Saccharomyces cerevisiae S288C: one gene and its partners. The gene in region 3 interacts genetically with the main gene of each other region. Each region holds a gene or a part of one and is shown on either strand. Other genes may lie near its edges.

What was found. A genetic interaction does not mean that the proteins touch.
Region 1: mutations in PYP1 (region 3) and PAU5 together harm fitness more than expected from each alone (negative genetic interaction), as found in Saccharomyces cerevisiae (one large-scale study listed by BioGRID).
Region 2: mutations in PYP1 (region 3) and REA1 together harm fitness more than expected from each alone (negative genetic interaction), as found in Saccharomyces cerevisiae (one large-scale study listed by BioGRID).

What each region holds. Positions count from the first base shown.
Region 1 is NC_001138.5:97,179-102,385, reverse strand, and holds PAU5 (seripauperin PAU5), read left to right. Parts: upstream 1-2,786; coding exon 2,787-3,155; downstream 3,156-5,207. Other genes in the region: LPD1 (dihydrolipoyl dehydrogenase), read left to right, coding at 1-758; YFL019C (uncharacterized protein), read left to right, coding at 1,781-2,134; GAT1 (Gat1p), read right to left, coding at 4,888-5,207.
Region 2 is NC_001144.5:359,187-366,838, forward strand, and holds the start of REA1 (AAA family ATPase midasin), read right to left. Parts: upstream 4,553-7,652; coding exon 1-4,552. Other genes in the region: REX3 (RNA exonuclease), read left to right, coding at 4,930-6,144; YLR108C (uncharacterized protein), read right to left, coding at 7,481-7,652. UniProt on the Saccharomyces cerevisiae protein: Nuclear chaperone required for maturation and nuclear export of pre-60S ribosome subunits.
Region 3 is NC_001146.8:609,084-615,018, reverse strand, and holds PYP1 (putative phosphoric monoester hydrolase), read right to left. Parts: upstream 1,385-5,935; coding exon 659-1,384; downstream 1-658. Other genes in the region: isocitrate dehydrogenase (NADP(+)) IDP3, read right to left, coding at 1-198; YNL011C (uncharacterized protein), read left to right, coding at 1,849-3,183; SPO1 (putative carboxylic ester hydrolase), read right to left, coding at 3,354-5,144, 5,229-5,333; HEF3 (translation elongation factor EF-3), read right to left, coding at 5,566-5,935. UniProt on the Saccharomyces cerevisiae protein: Hydrolyzes sugar alcohol (polyol) phosphates. Dephosphorylates a variety of substrates, including: sn-glycerol 1-phosphate (D-glycerol 3-phosphate), D-ribitol 5-phosphate, D-sorbitol 6-phosphate (D-glucitol 6-phosphate), and D-erythrose 4-phosphate.

The DNA.
Region 1 (5,207 bases), on a different chromosome or scaffold from region 3:
CCAAAGCCACCCAAAAGTTCTTGAAAAAGCAAGGTTTGGACTTCAAATTAAGCACCAAAGTTATTTCTGCAAAGAGAAACGACGACAAGAACGTCGTCGAAATTGTTGTAGAAGATACTAAAACGAATAAGCAAGAAAATTTGGAAGCTGAAGTTTTGCTGGTTGCTGTTGGTAGAAGACCTTACATTGCTGGCTTAGGGGCTGAAAAGATTGGATTAGAAGTAGACAAAAGGGGACGCCTAGTCATTGATGACCAATTTAATTCCAAGTTCCCACACATTAAAGTGGTAGGAGATGTTACATTTGGTCCAATGCTGGCTCACAAAGCCGAAGAGGAAGGTATTGCAGCTGTCGAAATGTTGAAAACTGGTCACGGTCATGTCAACTATAACAACATTCCTTCGGTCATGTATTCTCACCCAGAAGTAGCATGGGTTGGTAAAACCGAAGAGCAATTGAAAGAAGCCGGCATTGACTATAAAATTGGTAAGTTCCCCTTTGCGGCCAATTCAAGAGCCAAGACCAACCAAGACACTGAAGGTTTCGTGAAGATTTTGATCGATTCCAAGACCGAGCGTATTTTGGGGGCTCACATTATCGGTCCAAATGCCGGTGAAATGATTGCTGAAGCTGGCTTAGCCTTAGAATATGGCGCTTCCGCAGAAGATGTTGCTAGGGTCTGCCATGCTCATCCTACTTTGTCCGAAGCATTTAAGGAAGCTAACATGGCTGCCTATGATAAAGCTATTCATTGTTGAAAACAGGAAATAATAAACAGTATAGTATATATATTTATGAAGAACCGCTTAGTATTGAGTAAGTAAAAAAAAATTGCACAAGGAATTAATATATGAGGAAACTACTAGTCGATCAGATAAGATATTATGACCAGATATGCAAAAAAAAGGGGGCGAGCTGGGAATTGAACCCAGGGCCTCTCGCATGCTTTGTCTTCCTGTTTATTCAGGAAGTCGCCCAAAGCGAGAATCATACCACTAGACCACACGCCCGAATTATTGTTGCGTTAATAAGAAAAACAGAAATATTTATATAGGAGAGTGATTAAAGGGAATCTTCTATCAACAATATCCATTCAAATTCAGGCGCATAACGTGAGTGAATATAGAATTGAGCCTCCTATTAGTCTTCCCGATTTCATTCGAGAAACATATCAGGATTAACCTGTACATTATGGTGTCTGTATTACTATTTTACATGTTCACGTTTATTTCTTGCTCATATATTCATATGGATGACCACTACGTTTGCTACCATTAAGTCTAATTATTTCAGCAACCAATATTCCATGTAAGTGTATAGCTAGTGGATATTAGACAACGGCTGCCACATGGTTAAGTCTTTTGCTCACCAGGACTACCGGTAAGAATCTGTTCCTTGTAACTCATTGCAAGGAGATTTTAGTTGCTCCCAATTATATTTTTTGAAGCACTAGCAGGGCAATGATTTTTCTTCTCGTAAGTACATGAATTATGAAATACTTTTTGGGATTTCGTTGTTGTCAAAGGCTATAAAATTTAGTATACAAAGTATACCAGAAAGTTTCCTCGAGGATATAGAAATTCACAAAAGGAAATCGATATTTCTATGTAATAATATAATTAAATTTCCTTCCATCTCATATCCTGTCATTAATTATTCCATTACAACATCATTCCCCTGAATTTCAGCTTCCACTACACCTGAGACTATCTCTCAAACGTTACGCCATATTCTCACACCCATATTATAATATAGTAGTAATATGAATACTAATCGGTAGATGATAGTTGAACTTTATTCAAATATCATCGAAGTAAGAAGATATACTACTAAAGACTCCCTTTGCTCTATATTCGAGTCAGGCTCCACCAGTCATTTCGAAATTAACCAGTTACAGGTCAAAAGACTAAACTTACTGCAAAACCAATTTGCTTCTGTTTTCACTTCTTTCCACCCCAAAGATAATACAAAGGGCATACATATCAATTTTTTTTCACCTGTCACTAGGATAACTGACCTTCAATATTCCTTTTTTTATACGAATCAGATACTGTTCGGTACACGATATCTAATTAAAATGATTCAAAACTTTGTAACAGGTAAAGTTTTCACTAGAACCAATCAATCCAAGTGAATTAGGGGAAACCATAGTTGTTGATTTGTAGAAACCTCACATTGTACATTGTTGGTTTGTTGGGCATATCAGAACGAGAGATTTTCCAACATTCAATATACACTAAACCCTATGACGAGTCCCACAGATGGCGTAAGGTTTTTATGATTTCAGCAGGGTACGACGACTAGTACCATATTAACATTTTTTAGTGTTTCTAATTTGGGAAAAGGTCCGTGTTTTTTCTCCTAGCAACCGTTTAGTGCCAAGGGTTAGGCAATTGAACGAGGCCAAGACAATATTGGCTTTGCTTCTATTACTTGGCTAACATTGTGTCTGCAGGTCGAAAGGCACCTTTACTGTAAGGAACATTCTTGCGCTCTAAACATACGAAGATATGGGGAATATGAAGCGTGTTTCTTATACGAAGTGCAGCATCGTTCAAGGAAAATACACCCCCATAGTAATAATGGCTAAGTGGCCAGGAATTAGAATATGTGAGATATGAGTGCAAAATGAGTGACCAGTAATAGCCTGTTTGGGATGTAATTGCTCAAAAAATTTATATAAATACAGCGGTTTGATCAGCTTTGTTTGAGACATTTCTCTGTTCTTTTCCTTCCAGTTAAGCTTATATCTCCACTAAGCAACAACCCAAAAAACAACAAATACAATGGTCAAATTAACTTCAATCGCCGCTGGTGTCGCCGCCATTGCCGCTGGTGCCTCCGCTGCAGCAACCACTACACTATCTCAATCTGACGAAAGAGTTAATTTGGTTGAATTAGGTGTCTATGTTTCCGATATCAGAGCTCATTTGGCTGAATACTACTCCTTCCAAGCTGCCCACCCAACTGAAACTTATCCAGTTGAAATTGCAGAAGCTGTTTTCAACTACGGTGATTTCACCACCATGTTGACTGGTATTCCCGCCGACCAAGTTACCAGAGTTATCACTGGTGTTCCATGGTACTCTAGCAGATTAAAGCCAGCTATCTCTAGCGCTCTATCCGCAGACGGTATCTACACTATTGCAAATTAGAGATAGATTCCCTTAGGGATAAAATGTGATACGAATTAGAGAATAACGAAAAATATACAATTTTTTTTTTTTTTTTTGATATAGAAATAGTTAAAATACATTCAAATGTATACCGATATTATAAGCTTTCTCGATTAGTTTCGGTGCTTTTTTGAAGCCGTAAGTAATATGCAAATTTGTTATGACTTCTTTTCTATTCTTGCAGCAAATGTTGGGATTTAACTTCCAACTGGTGCCGTGCCATTTTTATTATTAACTTTAATAATGTTCTATTGTATTGGGACGGAAAAAGCTTATTTCTTAAATTGGAGCAAGAATCTCGGAGTTCGGTGCCTATCCGAAGGTTCGCCCTGACGAAATACACTAGGCAGGAAAGTTTTCTCACAACAAGAATTAGAAACGATATTAAGCCTGGTTCAGTTTACACATCAGACATACTCGATGAGTTAATACAAAAAAAAAAATTGCAGGTGCTTTATAAAGTAAAATAACATCGTGGAATGCAAGTTATTTTTTAGTCATCCACAATTGCTGCAGTGGTATTATGAGGCAGGATTTTTTTGACACCACAATTATGGTATTTTCGTGAGCAAACCCAACTTTTGGTATATGTCTAGATGCAGAGAGTGCCGTAATCCTTTTTCTCGTCTCCTTTTTCTTAGCACACTACTTTTTGATGTGGAAATATAAGTTATGCAAGAGAAAAAACAGAAGGGCTTTACAAAATTATCCTCCTTCCGATTCTGAAGGTGGGCTCTCTAAAGTATCTAAAATCGTAGGGGAGTACTGCTACTACCATCACTGACATTTGGGGCTTATTCTTTTCTGAAAATTCAAGATTTTTCAGACACGACCAAACAATTAGTACGCACCGACTACTGCAGTTATTTATCTGTCAAGCCACAGAAGTTTCTTCCTTCCTTTTGTGTGGATATTGCGGTACACAGCGGGAAACTCCTTAGTGTTCATAAAGAAATACGATCATATGTAGTATACAACCTGTAATTACTTCTTGTGGAGAGAGATAGTTTTTTTACTTTATTTTGTGACCGGCTGTGATTTCAAACAGTAAGCCAACTTCCAGAGAAATGCCTTGTTATTAAGGAAATACCCATCCGTTGGAGCGCACCGTCGGAAAAGTAGCAAATTGCATCAACATGATGCAAAAAGTCGAAATAACAAGGTCCCGCTTTTACACATCACAAAATGATGCCATTCAGATCCAGATCTTTCTGCCTGATGAAAGAAAATCCTTGCCATTGTCTTGTTTTGACGAGGTATTCCCAGAACACATCATTGTTCGTACTCGCGGCTTCCATTTTATTATTTTTGAAAAATGCTGCCAAATAAAGAAGCAAAAAAAAAAGGATGTTCAGGTCTCGGTTGCTCTTACTGAGCTTCTAGTGACGTCATATAAGACTCAAATAAAGTAATTGCCTAGGATAACTGGTTTAGTTCTCTTTTAAATTTGGGAGGGCCATTCCTGTGTGTGAGCCCTGCGCCTTTCAACTATTCTGTCACCGCCGCAATAGATGTTGGGTCACATGGAAGCATAACGCACACTGAGCTTTTGATAAATGTTGCACTTTTTTTGTTATTTTTTTTTTTTTTTTATGAAATAAATATAGTGTTCTTCTTTTTATTCTATGTATACATAGAGTTTGATTAGTATGTGTATATATATATGAAGCGGACATGGAAAGAAGCGAGTACTTTTTTTTTTTTGGGGGATCTATAAATTCAGATTCAACCAATCCAGGCTCAGATTGCCATTTGGAGTGGTGTTCATGTTTGAGTTTGGATTTGTGTCTCCAGAATGATGATCTATTGCGGAGTCCAAAGGCTTCCAGAAGGCTTCATTGTTGAAGGAGGAGGTTGAGGCGTTGTGAAGGTTCATGTTCATAGTCATATTCATATCAGGCCGAAAGCTGGAGAACGTTTCCGCCTCGATGGGTACGGAACTCGAAAGGTGGTGGCGAGTGTTAGAGCGGAGGTATTGTGGGATGGAAGGTGAGGCAATCTTCGGAATGGGTATGTCCTGAGACTTCAAAG
Region 2 (7,652 bases), on a different chromosome or scaffold from region 3:
CTAACAACAAACTCCTTTCTGGCTCCAAAACACTATTTAGTCTTTCAAGAACGGAATCATCTGCTAGCGATATTTCATCAAGTAGAAAAAAATTTCCCGTCCTCATAGCTTGAATCAGAGGCCCGTCACTCCATTCAAATAAAACATTCAAACTATCCCTCAGCTTTTGTATTTCCAGTTGAACATCTTCGGCTATATTTTTATTATCTGACTTAGAATATAGCTGTAATAACTCTTTCAAGTCTACATCTTGGTCATTAGCAATATTCAATGCTGTTTTTAAGGATTTTATTAGCTTATATTGAATTTCAGACCTGTTACGAACAGGTCTTTGAGCACCTAATATGTCTCCAGTTTCTGTGTTTTGATGGGCATTTAGTGTGATCAGTTCTCGACCCATGAATTGCGCCAATAATTGGCAAATTGTTGTTTTGCCGCACCCAGTTTCACCTACCAGTAGTACTGGCTCCTTATTCTTTAAACAACTAGAAACTAAGACGGATAGTCGGCGCATTCCTTTTGTCCAAGTAACAGAGCCAATGGCTTCTAAGGATTTATCTTCCAGACTTGCATAATATTGGTCCATATCTAATTTAACTTTCATTACTTTTTCTAAAGTCTTTTTGACTGTAACTTTTTCTTGTGGAGTTCTGCACCTTTCTGCAAGAAGCATATAGCCACTGGCAGCAAGCTGCTCATATCCCACTGCGTCCCTTAAAGCCCAGCGGAAAAGATCACGTAGAGTTGCAAAACTATTTTTCTGTTCGAACAACCTTGAAGCGGAACGTTCGATGGATAATTGGCGGTATACTTCAACGATTTTCTTTGCATATGATGGGGCAATTTGGCAGCGCTCACGTAGGATAATTTCTAATTCATCTTGCGGAATATCGTCGAAGTGCAACTCCAGAAAACGATTCCTAAAAGCTCTTGAAAGAATTTTACGGCCACCGTATATCCCAGGTGGATTCTGGGTAGCAAAAAGAAGGAAATCAGGATGAGGATGTACAACTTCTTGTGTTTCTGGAATAAAAAGTTCTCTGTTATCGTCAAGTAACCTATTTAAGGCTTCTAAAACATCGGTTGGGGCAAGATTTAATTCATCCAAAACAATCCAATATCCTTTTCGTAGTGCCTCGACTAAAACACCTTCCTTAAACGACAGCTTTCCGGTATCATCGGTAACATATGTACCTAAATATTCCTGTAAATCTGTATGCTCATGGTTATTTATACGGACAAACTTATGGCCCGTTATATCCGCAAGATATTTGATCATACTGGTTTTTCCCGATGAAGTTGGACCTTGAATAAGCACAGGAAATCTTTTGCCTGATGTAGCTCTTACCAAATTCATCATATTCTTTTCAACAAAAGGCGTAATGATATAGTGAGCTTGTTCTTGAATTGTATTAGGGCCCTTTTTCATCCAATAATGCTTAAACTGAACATAATCTGGTCCTGGAGAGGGAGGTGTCTGTGACATGATTGACTTGACATTTTTTAGCCTCCCCAATGTGAATTTTTCTATTACTGGCTTCAGAATGGCCTCAGATTTTTGGTCCAGTAAAGTCAAAAAACTCATACAGAATCCATCATACAGGGAACGGCGTAGACCGTAGATATGAATAATATCAGTAACATAAAGCAATGTACGCGTCAGGGTACGGATACTAAAGTGTGGTTTTTGGTTTGAGCCATCAACTATAGTATTGTTATCGGAGAGTTTTTTGGCTTCAAGGTAAAGTTCAGCGATGTCATTTCCTACCCATTCATCGCTGACGCTGTACTTTCCAATATATTTATCAATTATGGAAAGCAAATCAGTAATATCACGTTCCGGAGAATGTACATATATTTCGGTAAATCTTGATCTGATACCCATAGGTAAGTCTCTTTTACCAACATCAGTAGCGGGGTTCATACAAGCAAATATTCTAAAATCGGGGTGAGCTTTTATAGGCTCAGCGTCACCCTTTTCTGAAAGAAGAATACTACGAGAATCAGGCTCGGTGAGAAGGTCAGAAATACTTTCTAAGGTATCTGCGGTTGCTAAATTCACTTCATCGAGCAATAGCCACTCCCCAGCCCTGATAGTCTTTACCAAAGAACCCTCGACAAAATTGAAGACAAACGAGTTTTCAATAGAGCTAGACTGGGCCTCAAACTTCTTCACTGAGTCATTGAAGTCAGCCCATTTGTCAAGTAACAATTTTTTTTCATGAGTATTGAGTCTTCTTTTCTTCTTCTTTGCATTTTCGTTTTCATTTTCAGTGTTTGTAATTTTTAATATGCTTTGAGCCATTTTGTACGCTTCGTTCCAAAGTTTAACAACGTTCTTCCATTGATTCTTGTTGAAGCACCTATGTAGCATCTTGTGAAACTTCTCGTTCTTCTTTAAGGAAAATGTAGCATTAAAAAGAGTTTCAAAATTTTCTTGTATAGGAACTGCAACTGTTTTAGAATTTACGGGTTTGTACCCACCAAGAAGATCACCAGTTTCTGTTTGTTGTGAAACATTGATTACCGTTAATTTTTTTGCTAACATCTTAGCAAGTTGTTGAACGACTGTAGTTTTCCCGGTACCCGTTTCACCGACTAGTAAAACAGGTTCAGTCATCTGTATACAAACAGAAATCTGTTCCATTAGTCTTAAAGAATGATTCGTAAATGCGAACAATGTGCTGTTCATTGATTTTTTTTGTATATTTAGCTTTTCCTTAAGTAATACGGCTCTTCCAATTTTAATGCTATCATCAAGGTTTTCCAAAGTGGGCACATGTTGGGTCAAAAATAACGAAATCCTTGAGGAAGCAATGTCTAATGACTCGCCGATTGCTTGTATAATAGGTTCCAAAGCTTTGAATTCTCCAATAGCGCCAGCGAAACAGTCGGCGGCTTCGGAGAAAATACTGTCGTAGACAGAAGACTGGATTAGTTGGTCAGGTTTGTTGATGCCATTGTTTTTGAATAGGATGTCTAACCTTTCGCACAGCTTAATTAAATCTCTTACAGATACAACTCTTGTGTGTGCCCCCTTGTTCAATGAAATGAACTTGGTGTTCATATAAATACTTTTGACGTTTTTGTATGAATCGATTAGTTTGGGGATAAGGTTGGTCAAAATGGGAAACTTTTGGGCTAAAATGTGTGTCAAATCCTCTTCGCTAGGTTCCTCTAATTCAATAACATTCCAGATTCTCATACCAATCATATTCAAGTTATAGATCTTATTGGAACTATCCTTCTGATGATCTTCGTTTATTCTAACAGTTGATATTAACTGGAAACCATTTGCAGCCTTTACAGTCTCTCCTCTGGATGGAATGGTTAGTTCGCGCTTTTCTAAAAGCGATAAAAGTATTGATAAAACATCTGTAGGAGCTTTATCTATGTCTTCTATAAGTACCCATCTCCCTTCTTTGACCGCGGTAGCGAGAACACCAGCTCTCCATTCAAACGTGCCTGGCTTGTCACCAGAGGTATAAGTACCAATCAGTAACTTGGCATCAGTTTGTTCACCTAAATGAATTTTCACAATGGAGTCATGGCAACCCATATATTTACTTAGCTCATTGATTAAAAAGGTTTTACCGGATCCCGCTTTTCCAATGAGCATTATTGGAGTTGAATTTTGAATCTTTCTCCCGAGTTGACGAAGAGAGGAAACCGTTTTATGAGTAGGGACAAAGGTTAATGGGTAGAATACTTTGTCGTGGATAGTGTGGACCTTAGGGACGATAACGCCACAGATTGACGCGACCTTAGTACTCAAATCCTGAGGCTCAATAATGAAGTAGCTAGATTTTTTTTCTATAGTGAAACATTCTGGAACACTGGGTAGTTTAGAGAAATTTGCACATCTCTTAGCTTCGTTCAGTTCGAGGAAGCTGTAATCAATTCCAGAATCGCCCTCAAAATGGCCCAACAATGAATCGCGTGATTTTATATAAGTGTCGAGCATATCGTTTAATGTTTTTTCTCCCATGTCTAAGTATAAAGATAAAACCTTTAATGCTAGAAATATAACAACCTGATTTTCTTGTTCTTTGGTGAGTAAATCCACAAGTTGGTATAAAATGTCGGGTTGAATGAAGCGTGCAAATACTTCTTTATTGTGATATAGTAACCTATAGTATGCTAATAGTATTTTAAACATGTCGGAATCCTTTTGTGTGGATGGATTTTGAAGAATAGTGATGAAATGATCATTCTCTTTATCTAAATAGTCTTCAATTAATGGCATTGCAACGGGAAATATTGTAATTATACTTGCCAACTTTTCAATTACAAGAACGTAATCTTTTTTTTTGGAGTCCTTTATCCAACGTGCCACTATCTCTAAAAAAATATGTTTGTAAAGGAAAACATGACCAGTGATGGAACGGCTATGTAGTATAGTTCCTGCTAAATTGTCTAAATTCTCAGAAGTTGATTCCTTGTTGCTAAAGTGGAAGGGCGCTTCAATAGCATCAGAGGGAAAAGCAGAATTGAAGAGAATTAACCTTTGGTTAACTACGTCTAAATCTAACAAAATTCTATCCTGGGACATTCTCAGCAGATTATAACGGTTTTAAAAATAATGTGACCGCGTAAAGTAGAGGTACCTTAAAATAATAAGAGTAGAATTCGATGTCAAATTAACTCAGAGGTACTTTGAATCTTTAAAATAATCACTTTGGAGAGGAATGTCTAAAGTAAAGCAGTAAGTGATATAATGTTTTCTTTTCATAAAGCTAAATAGACCTTAGCTCATCGCTTCTTTAAAATTTTTCACTCGAAAAAGAAAAAATACCTCGTAAAGGGCGACAATAAATGATGAGTAGAAAAAGAAATGGAATAACGGTTCAAGTGCATTTAAAATCAATGCCTTGAATATGTGTTTCAGTATACATTCAGTTTGACTATATATCAAGAGAAAGCTTTAGTATGGGAAGTTTGTTGAGACCGGTTGATCTGGTAAATCAACCGCTTGGATTCCAAGAAAGATATAAAATTTTGCAGAAATTATTCAAGCAGCTACAAAAGGCATATGCACACACAAAAGGAACTAATATTGACCTTGAAAGACTTGCCACTCGCTTAGAAGTCCATGTTGCTAAAAACAGCTTGTCTGGTCAGAGTTACAAGTTTAACATGAGCATTTTACTGCGGGATGTGCTTAAATATAAAGGAGATCTCTCGAAGATCAAAATTAATGGGCGCCCCCTTAAAGGAGCTAAGCCTCATTTATCCTCAATTGGTAATGCAAACTCTATCACTACAAAATCAAAAGCGATGGAAGCTTTAAAGGCTCTGATTTTGGATTCGAAGGTCTTAGAGAAAAATGGGTATATTGTTAAGGAAATGCAAAATAAAACTAATGATGACAATAGTACGCAACTGTATGCACCTTGTTTGCGTTGCAGCTCAAATTTCAAAAAAACAGACATCATGGAAAAGACTCTATGTAGGTATCACCCTTTGAAAAGAATATACAACAGAGATACCAAGAACCATCAGTATCCATGCTGTGGTGAAACTACTGATTCCGTTTCTTTTCTAAGGCTAGGATGCAAGACGTTTTTTCACCATGTGTTTAGAGGAGAATCATATGACGAGTTATGCAAAATTTCGAAGTTTTCTAGTACAGATGACATTGATGGTGTTGAGAATGTTCTTTCTCTTGACTGTGAAATGGCTTTTACATCATTGGGCTATGAGATGATACGTTTAACAATTGTGGATTTTTTCACCGGCAAGACACTATTTGATCATGTAATTCAGCCAATAGGGGATATTGTCGATCTGAATTCAGACTTCAGTGGTGTCCATGAGATTGACCGAACCAATTGCCCGACGTACAAGGAGGCACTTGATGTTTTTTTATCCGAAAACTTAATAAATAAAAATAGTATTCTTATAGGGCACGGACTAGAGAACGATCTGAACGTCATGAGGCTATTTCATAATAAGGTTATAGATACTGCAATACTTTATTCAAGAACAAAGTTTAAGGTTTCTTTGAAGAACTTAGCGTTTGAAGTTTTGAGTAGAAAAATCCAAAATGGCGAGCATGATAGTTCTCAAGATGCAATAGCAACGATGGACGTTGTTAAAGTCAAAATAGGTATTTCTCCAAGTCAAAACAAGTGGGAAAAATAATGTGATCATATTCAAAGTTGAGCAGACATATATAGTTATTACATTTCATACGGTTCACATGAGTTTTATTAAGTAATTACGTTAAGAAACAACATGATAAAAGTAATGATTTCGTATTGCTTTCCTATTTTCTGTATTTAAGCGAACAATAATAATGCACCTTTTCAATATCTGAATATTAAAATATCGTGAAATTGGGTTCAGGATGTACCAAACTTGATGATAGCTGAAGCACCATAATCCTATTTAAAGAAGTACCTGTTATCCGTCAGTAATTACCAGAACAAGTTAATTTTAAGTTTAATCTAAAAAAGTATTGCATGCGGCATTAAAAGACAACATAAAACATCTAAACGGTAAAGTATGATCGATAATTCTCCATAATAGTTCTGTTATTTATAATCTCCAGCACTAATAAATGCTATACGTATATTTGTACACAATATAATTTCAGAATTTATATTGCTACCATGACTGTCTGAGAATTGGGGGAATAACTTGATAATTGTTGGGATTCCATTGTTCGTAAACGCAATAATATTAGGTATATAGAAGATACTAAATGTTCTCTCCGAGGATATAGGAATGCTCACAATGGAATCGATATATTTCTACATAATAGTATTGAGATTATTCCTCTTTTAGTTTTATATAATTCATTATCCTATTACATTATCAATCCTTGCATTTCAGCTTCCATTAGACTTAATGACTGTTTCTCAATTTTTATGTCATCTTCCTGGACCTCATGTGATACTATACCAGTAGCATGAATACTACTGAATCGATGATACTTTAGAGTTTCATTGCAACAGTTTCAACACAGCCTGGCATGAACAGTGGTAAAAGTATTTCGTCCACTATTTTCGGCTACTATAAATAAATGTTTTTTTCGCAACTATGTGTTCGCGAAGTAACCCTTCGTGGACATTTGGTCAATTTGAAACAATACAGAGATGATCAGCAGTTCCCCTGCATAAGGATGAACCGTTTTACAAAGAGATTTATTTCGTTTTTTTTTTATCATCGAGTGAAGTATCGTGACTTGTACATTTGAAGATACCCAGCGTACAGCAGTGTATCTTTATCTTCCTGTATGATATAGATAACTAACATCTCGAATAGAAAATTGTCTCGCGTTCGAACCTAAGCCTTTGCTATCGGTTGAACATAGAAGACCGCGTGATTCATTTTAGTGCGTAAGAATGCTATTAGTACTTATGTGCTTTATGAATGTGAATATTGTTACAGCTATGCAATGGTACGATCATACTCTGAACGATCCATTTAAATTATATATGTCAAACAGAAGAGAAAGGTTTTTTTATTGAAGATTTCACAGAAAATCAATCATTTTGCAATATTCCTTCGTCCCAGAGAAGGTTTCGGCTTTTACAGCAACGAGAATGATTCTTCCATTATTTGTACCTAGCTTCCACATGGATTTCGATAAGTGTAGTTTCAAACCATGAACGCAATTCAAAACTTTCAAATTGGTGCAATCCAAG
Region 3 (5,935 bases):
TTTTAGGGTAGCATAAGAAGAATCCTTTGTTACTTGATCATTAGTCCTATCACGCTCTTGGATTGAAAGGTCATAGTATTTTAAATCCACATCTAAATATGGCAATATCAATTTTTCTTTGATAAGTTTCCAAATAACTCTTGTCTGCTCATCACCGTCCATTTCCACGATGGGATGAACAACTTTAATTTTACTCATTTTAACTTGGACAACTATCTCTAAAGTGTTGCTTGTGTTTACTGCAGGTATGTGCAGGAGAAAGCTTATAAGGGGAACACTCTTATATACGAAGATGCAAAATTGGGGTAATTAATGTAAATTTAAGAATGACAAGAAGAGTTGACTAGTACACGCAACGAAATACTAATCACATTTTACTTTTCCCCTAAAAGAGAGCTCCTGCTTTTCTCTTTACTGTCCCTTTTGGTATGTTTGATTGATTTCTAATTAGTATACTTGAAATATCATTCGTTTTGTATTAAAGATTCGGCATTAAGCATGCTAAATCCGAGGAGGATCTTCCTTTATTTTTTGATGTTCTTTCTCTCAGACAATAAAAAAGATATACAAGAAAAATATAGTACGTACGTATATATGCATACATATGTAAGAGGCAGTTACACGGTATTAAACTTTAATATTTCGTAAGAGTCTTGCACTAATTTTCCATCAATTCAGCGACTGTCTTTTCACCAGCCAGAACTTGTTTCATGCTAGCCAAGATGTCTTTGAAGGTATCGAATTCATGGAATGGGACGTTTTGTTTTTTACAATAAGTGACCAAATCTTTACCTCTTTTGGCAAATAGCAAATCACATTCTTTTGCAGCACTTAGATCAGAAACACCGTCACCACAGTAAAAGTAAACGGGTCTTTGTTCACCTGCTTTCAAGGTAGATTCAAATTTCTTTTTATAAGCATCGATACTTCTGGATTTGTCATGTCCGAAGGGACTTTCATCCTTATAGATGATTTTCCATTGATCATGTGCATCGATTTCCACTTCATTGGAAACAATGTCAATTTTGTGAATAGACTCTTGTCCAACTAATCTGGTCAATAAAACCTTGATAATTGGTTTCATTCCGCTGGAAACAACGATGACAGGGACATCATTTTCTTGAGCCCATTCGAATGTATCCTTGAAACCAGGATCCAATCGAATTTTCTTTTCTAAGATCTTGATACACTCAGGGAAAGGGGTGTGGATGGATTCCAGCATTTCCATGAAACCTTGCCTAAAAGACTTAGTATCATCTAACACGCCTTCGAAGACCTTTAATCTTTTTTCCTTACCGAAACCTAAAGTATCGGTCAGATAATCGTTAGAATCTTCCAAAGTAACGGTACCGTCGAAATCGGTAAAAATAACAGCTTTGACCATTTCCCTTGTATATATATAAATGCTATGTCACTCCAGCTTATGTTATGTGAGCAAGTTTCAAGAATGTGTGCGTTCTGTTGAGATAAACAATAGAGGACACTGTATTTTTTTAATTTAAGATGATGAAAAATTATGCGATAATTTTCGAAAATTTCGCTCATTTTAGAAAAAGAGATTTGAACAGGGTACCATAGTAGAACGATAAAAGAATATGTCGTACAATGTGTTGGGTTGTTGATATCCAATAAAGAGTTTTTTTCAGCGTGTAATGCTTAGATATTATGTGGAAAGTTACTACTGTTGTATTAACCTGTTTCGTATTTCCTAAAGAACGCTAATGTGTGATGTTTGGGTTTATTTCTTAAGCTATTTAGGCGGACTATGAAAGAGAGGAAACGGAATCTTTTGTTCCCTCGAGGTAATAAGGGGACAAAATAGCAGAGTGTGGTGAGATAGTTTACTAGATGAACGTCGTTGTGTGCTCCGGTGGGACTGCCACAAATTCATTGACTCCTTGCTTTTCTAATATTTCTATCTTAAAAGGACATGAGCTGACGTATATATTGCCAATATCAGATAATGGCGGGTCCACAAGTGAAATTCTACGAATAGTTGGTGGCCCAGCAATTGGTGATATCAGATCTAGAATAGTGAGACTACTTCAAGATGAACAGCTTGTCGAGTTGTTTGGCCATAGGCTACCTAATGATAAGTTATTAGCTAAGAAAGAATGGAATGAAATAGTGGAAGGTTCGCATCCCATATGGAAAAATATTTCGATAGAAGTTAAGGAAATGTGTCGTTCTTTTATTATCCATATGCAAGCAGAACTCTTGAAAAAAATCAAACACTCGAATCCATTTCAGTTTGAGAGTGCATCCATTGGAAATTTTTTCTTAACTGGTGCTAGATTGTTTTTAGGTTCTCTAGACGCATCTATTGAACTAATGATGAGGATAGGAAGGTGCAGTCCTCTAGTTCATGTTATTCCATGTATAAATACCAATCACACACATCATATCTCGGCTTTGTTGACGAATGGTGAGATGATAACTGGCCAATCACAAATATCGCATCCCTCGAAATCTGTTCCTAAAGATAATAGCATAGCACATTCAGCTAAATTTATTCATTTACTTGGCTCTTATGACGACCATTTGAAAATTCTCCTCGACGATGAGGAAGAAGAAGCGGAAGAGGAGTATGCCAATCCTATCTATATTCTTCCAGAACTGAAAAACTCCCAGTTGCATTTTGACAAGCTTGATGAATCACAGAATCTACCTGCTCCGGTACATAGGATATTGTATATAAACCCATATGGCGAAGAGATAAAACCAATGGGAAATCCAAGAGCTATTTCCAAGGTGAAAAAAGCTGACATGGTCGTTTATTCTATCGGTTCTTTAATGACAAGTTTACTCCCAATCCTTATTCTTGGTAATCTTGCTGAAGTAATTTTGGAATCTAATAATACGAAAAAAGTTTTGCTCATAAATAATAAATATGATAGAGAGGTTTTTGGTTTAGACGGTTTACACTACGTTCAAATGATCATAGATTCTATGAGTAGGGCAATAGCAGGCTATAGGCAATCTAAGGGTGTCCATTCAGAGAATGATGACTTTGAATGGCAAGATTTTATTACTGATATTGTTTACCTAAAAAATGGTGAAATTGAAATTGATGAAACGATATTCGAGAAGCATAGTATTAGATGCCACCAGATCGCGTCTTCGGATAAGATGGAAAGTGAAGAACTTGAAAAGGTTCTGAATCAAATTGGCCTTAAAAACTGATGCAACTATGTCGCTCATTAACGGTTATTATAGTGAAGACTACATAATAAAGACATAGATAATAAAAAAGAATCGCGTTTGAACCATGTTTTATTTAACCATATGGCATAGAAGAAAAGTAAAAAAGGTGAACAAAAACTCATTAAATTTCACAGAAAAAGTCTACTCTCTTATGAGTAACAGTAGTCTTTAAAGCATTGTAAGCAAAATGGCGAAAATTTCTTTTTTCTTGGGAGCCTGTCCATTGTTCTTTTGGTTAATATACAGCCTAAGCAATTTTTATAATAAAGGTCATAATCATTGCTAAACACTCCCCTTCCAGTGGGTAACATACTGCTAACTTCAGACTGATTGTAAGTTATTTTGAATGTCGACGTATTAGATGCGTTTCCATGATTCGCATTGGCATGATAAATTATAATTGGCAAAAATGAATCATGTCCAGTTCTTTTGGTAGCATTGCATCCTATAACAATGGGGTGAGTGAATGTTTTTACATTGTTCGGAAATTGGTAATGAACGTTCTCTTCATCTAATTTTTCGAATATCCTTTTTAACTTGGAGCCGTTTGGATAGTTGTCAATATCCGAACTAGAATCCAGAACAAAAATTACATCTAGTTCCCTTTCAGGAATCACCAATGTTCTGAGTGGAATATTCTCGCCGTCTTCTCCGCCGTCTACAAGGTATAAATGATTTTTGTTAGTTAGGACATTGTCTTTTTCAGGATAAAGATAAAAGGGATTGGGTTGATATACGGCATAGTCTGTCTCTAATCTCGAGGAGTCTTTCGAAATACTAAATATTTCCTCTTTACCTAGGCCAAAAATTCCCATAACCATATTCAAAGCTTTCATTGCTTCTCTGGAGGACTGAGAAGCCAAATTCCAGATGAAGATGAGCACATTGTTGAATATTGAAGAAGACGTCGCAGTAATAAAACCTAGATCATCAAAGTTATTAATACACTTCTCGGCCTTTCCAGAAACAATTTTTGAGCCCAAATAGGGCAACTTGACGAAAAGTCTGAGGATATTTTCCCAAGATCCAAATTCAAAGGGCGTAAATTCAAATATAACGTTTGAAAGAAGTCCATTTTTGCAATTTGCAACGAATATTGGGATCGGCACACTGCATTCCTTAAATTTTTTAGACGAGTTTACAAGCTTCGAAAACGAAAAGGAATGGTTGGGATCGTCATCGAAATTTTTTTTTAGTCTTTGAACGATTGCTTTACCCCAATAATCGGTGAACGATATTTGGAAACCCTCCATTTTTTTAGGCTTAATTTTCAAATGCAAACTTTTGTAAAAGTCTAGCACTTTTTTAAAGGTTTCAATCTTCGCATCAGTTCCAGTGAAAGTGTTGTTAGGAAAGAATATTTTTTTTAGTCTTGCTAATGGATTCAAGTTTCTCTTCGTTATCATATAGTCTTCTGGGATTTCTTCTATGGAATTCATGATCTCCTCTATTTGTTCATAAAAATTTGAAGAGCTTGTAATCAGAGAACCCCCCTGACGCTTCTTCATCTTCAAATCATTATCATTATACTCCTTTTTTGCATTGGTAACAATTTCTTCTTCGGAAATATCGAATTCCGGTATGCCTAATAAAAGATCCTCTTCAAGGTCCCACTCTTGTAGCAGGGATTTTACTTCAAAATTTTGAACTACCAAATCCATCAAGATCCAACTTCCGCCTGATAATCCAGCAATATAATCCGAATATTCAAAAAGGCCATAATCGTTCATTTGGGAAATAAATCCGGTACCTACTAACATGGATCTGTACCCGCCGCCAGATATAGCAATCCCAATTTTTGGAGGATCTTTCAACACGCGTTTATAAAACTTCGAACTAAACTTTGCCTCTGTCAAGGATTTTAAAAACTGAATCAGTTTATTCTTCGTTTTAATTTTTTTTTTCTTCAGATACAAGGTTTCTTCTGGACAGAGTTCATGCTAATAAACAAAGGAATACGAAGTTTTGGTATATTCGGTTAGTTTTGGCCCATATTTGTTAAAGTGGCAAAGAGTTTAACTTACTTTGGCCTCCCTAATAAGTGGAGAGCTAGGACATTGTACCTGAAATGGTGCTGTTGCTAGTACTACTGTCAATAACACAGAAAAGACAAAGAGGAGTTTTTGCATTATTTTGGGATATTTATGTCTTTACTTAGGTTTTTTACTTGTATACTTTCTCTGAGTGCATTTACTTAAATATGGTTGTATAGCCGCTGAAGTATGTTTTTTTTTACCTTTCTTTGTGAAAATCAGTAATAGAAAATAAACATAAAAAAAATAAAAATATAAAAAAAGAATAAGGATGTTAACTTCAAAAATATATAAGTTACTCACTGAAAGAGATGTACTCGACTTCAAATTAAAAATCTTCATCAGAAGAAACGTATTCATCACCCATCTCTTTTTTCTTCTTCATTCTCTCCTTCTTTTTCTTTCTCAATTCTGCAGAAGAGAGTTTGCTTTTTTTCTTCCCACTATTAATCTTGTTACCCATAGCATCAAATTTATCACCCTCTTCTTCTTTTTTCTCAATTCTTGGGCCAGCACCTTGTCCTGCAACCCAATTATGGCCAGAGGGTGTCATTTTCCCATCCTTAACCGCCCAAACTTCGTCAGTCAGATTCTTAGTAAATTCTGCCGAATGCGTAATAATAATGACACCACCTTCAAAAGCTTTTAATGCTTTTGAAAGAGCACCCAATGAATCTCTGTCCAAGTAATTCGTAGGT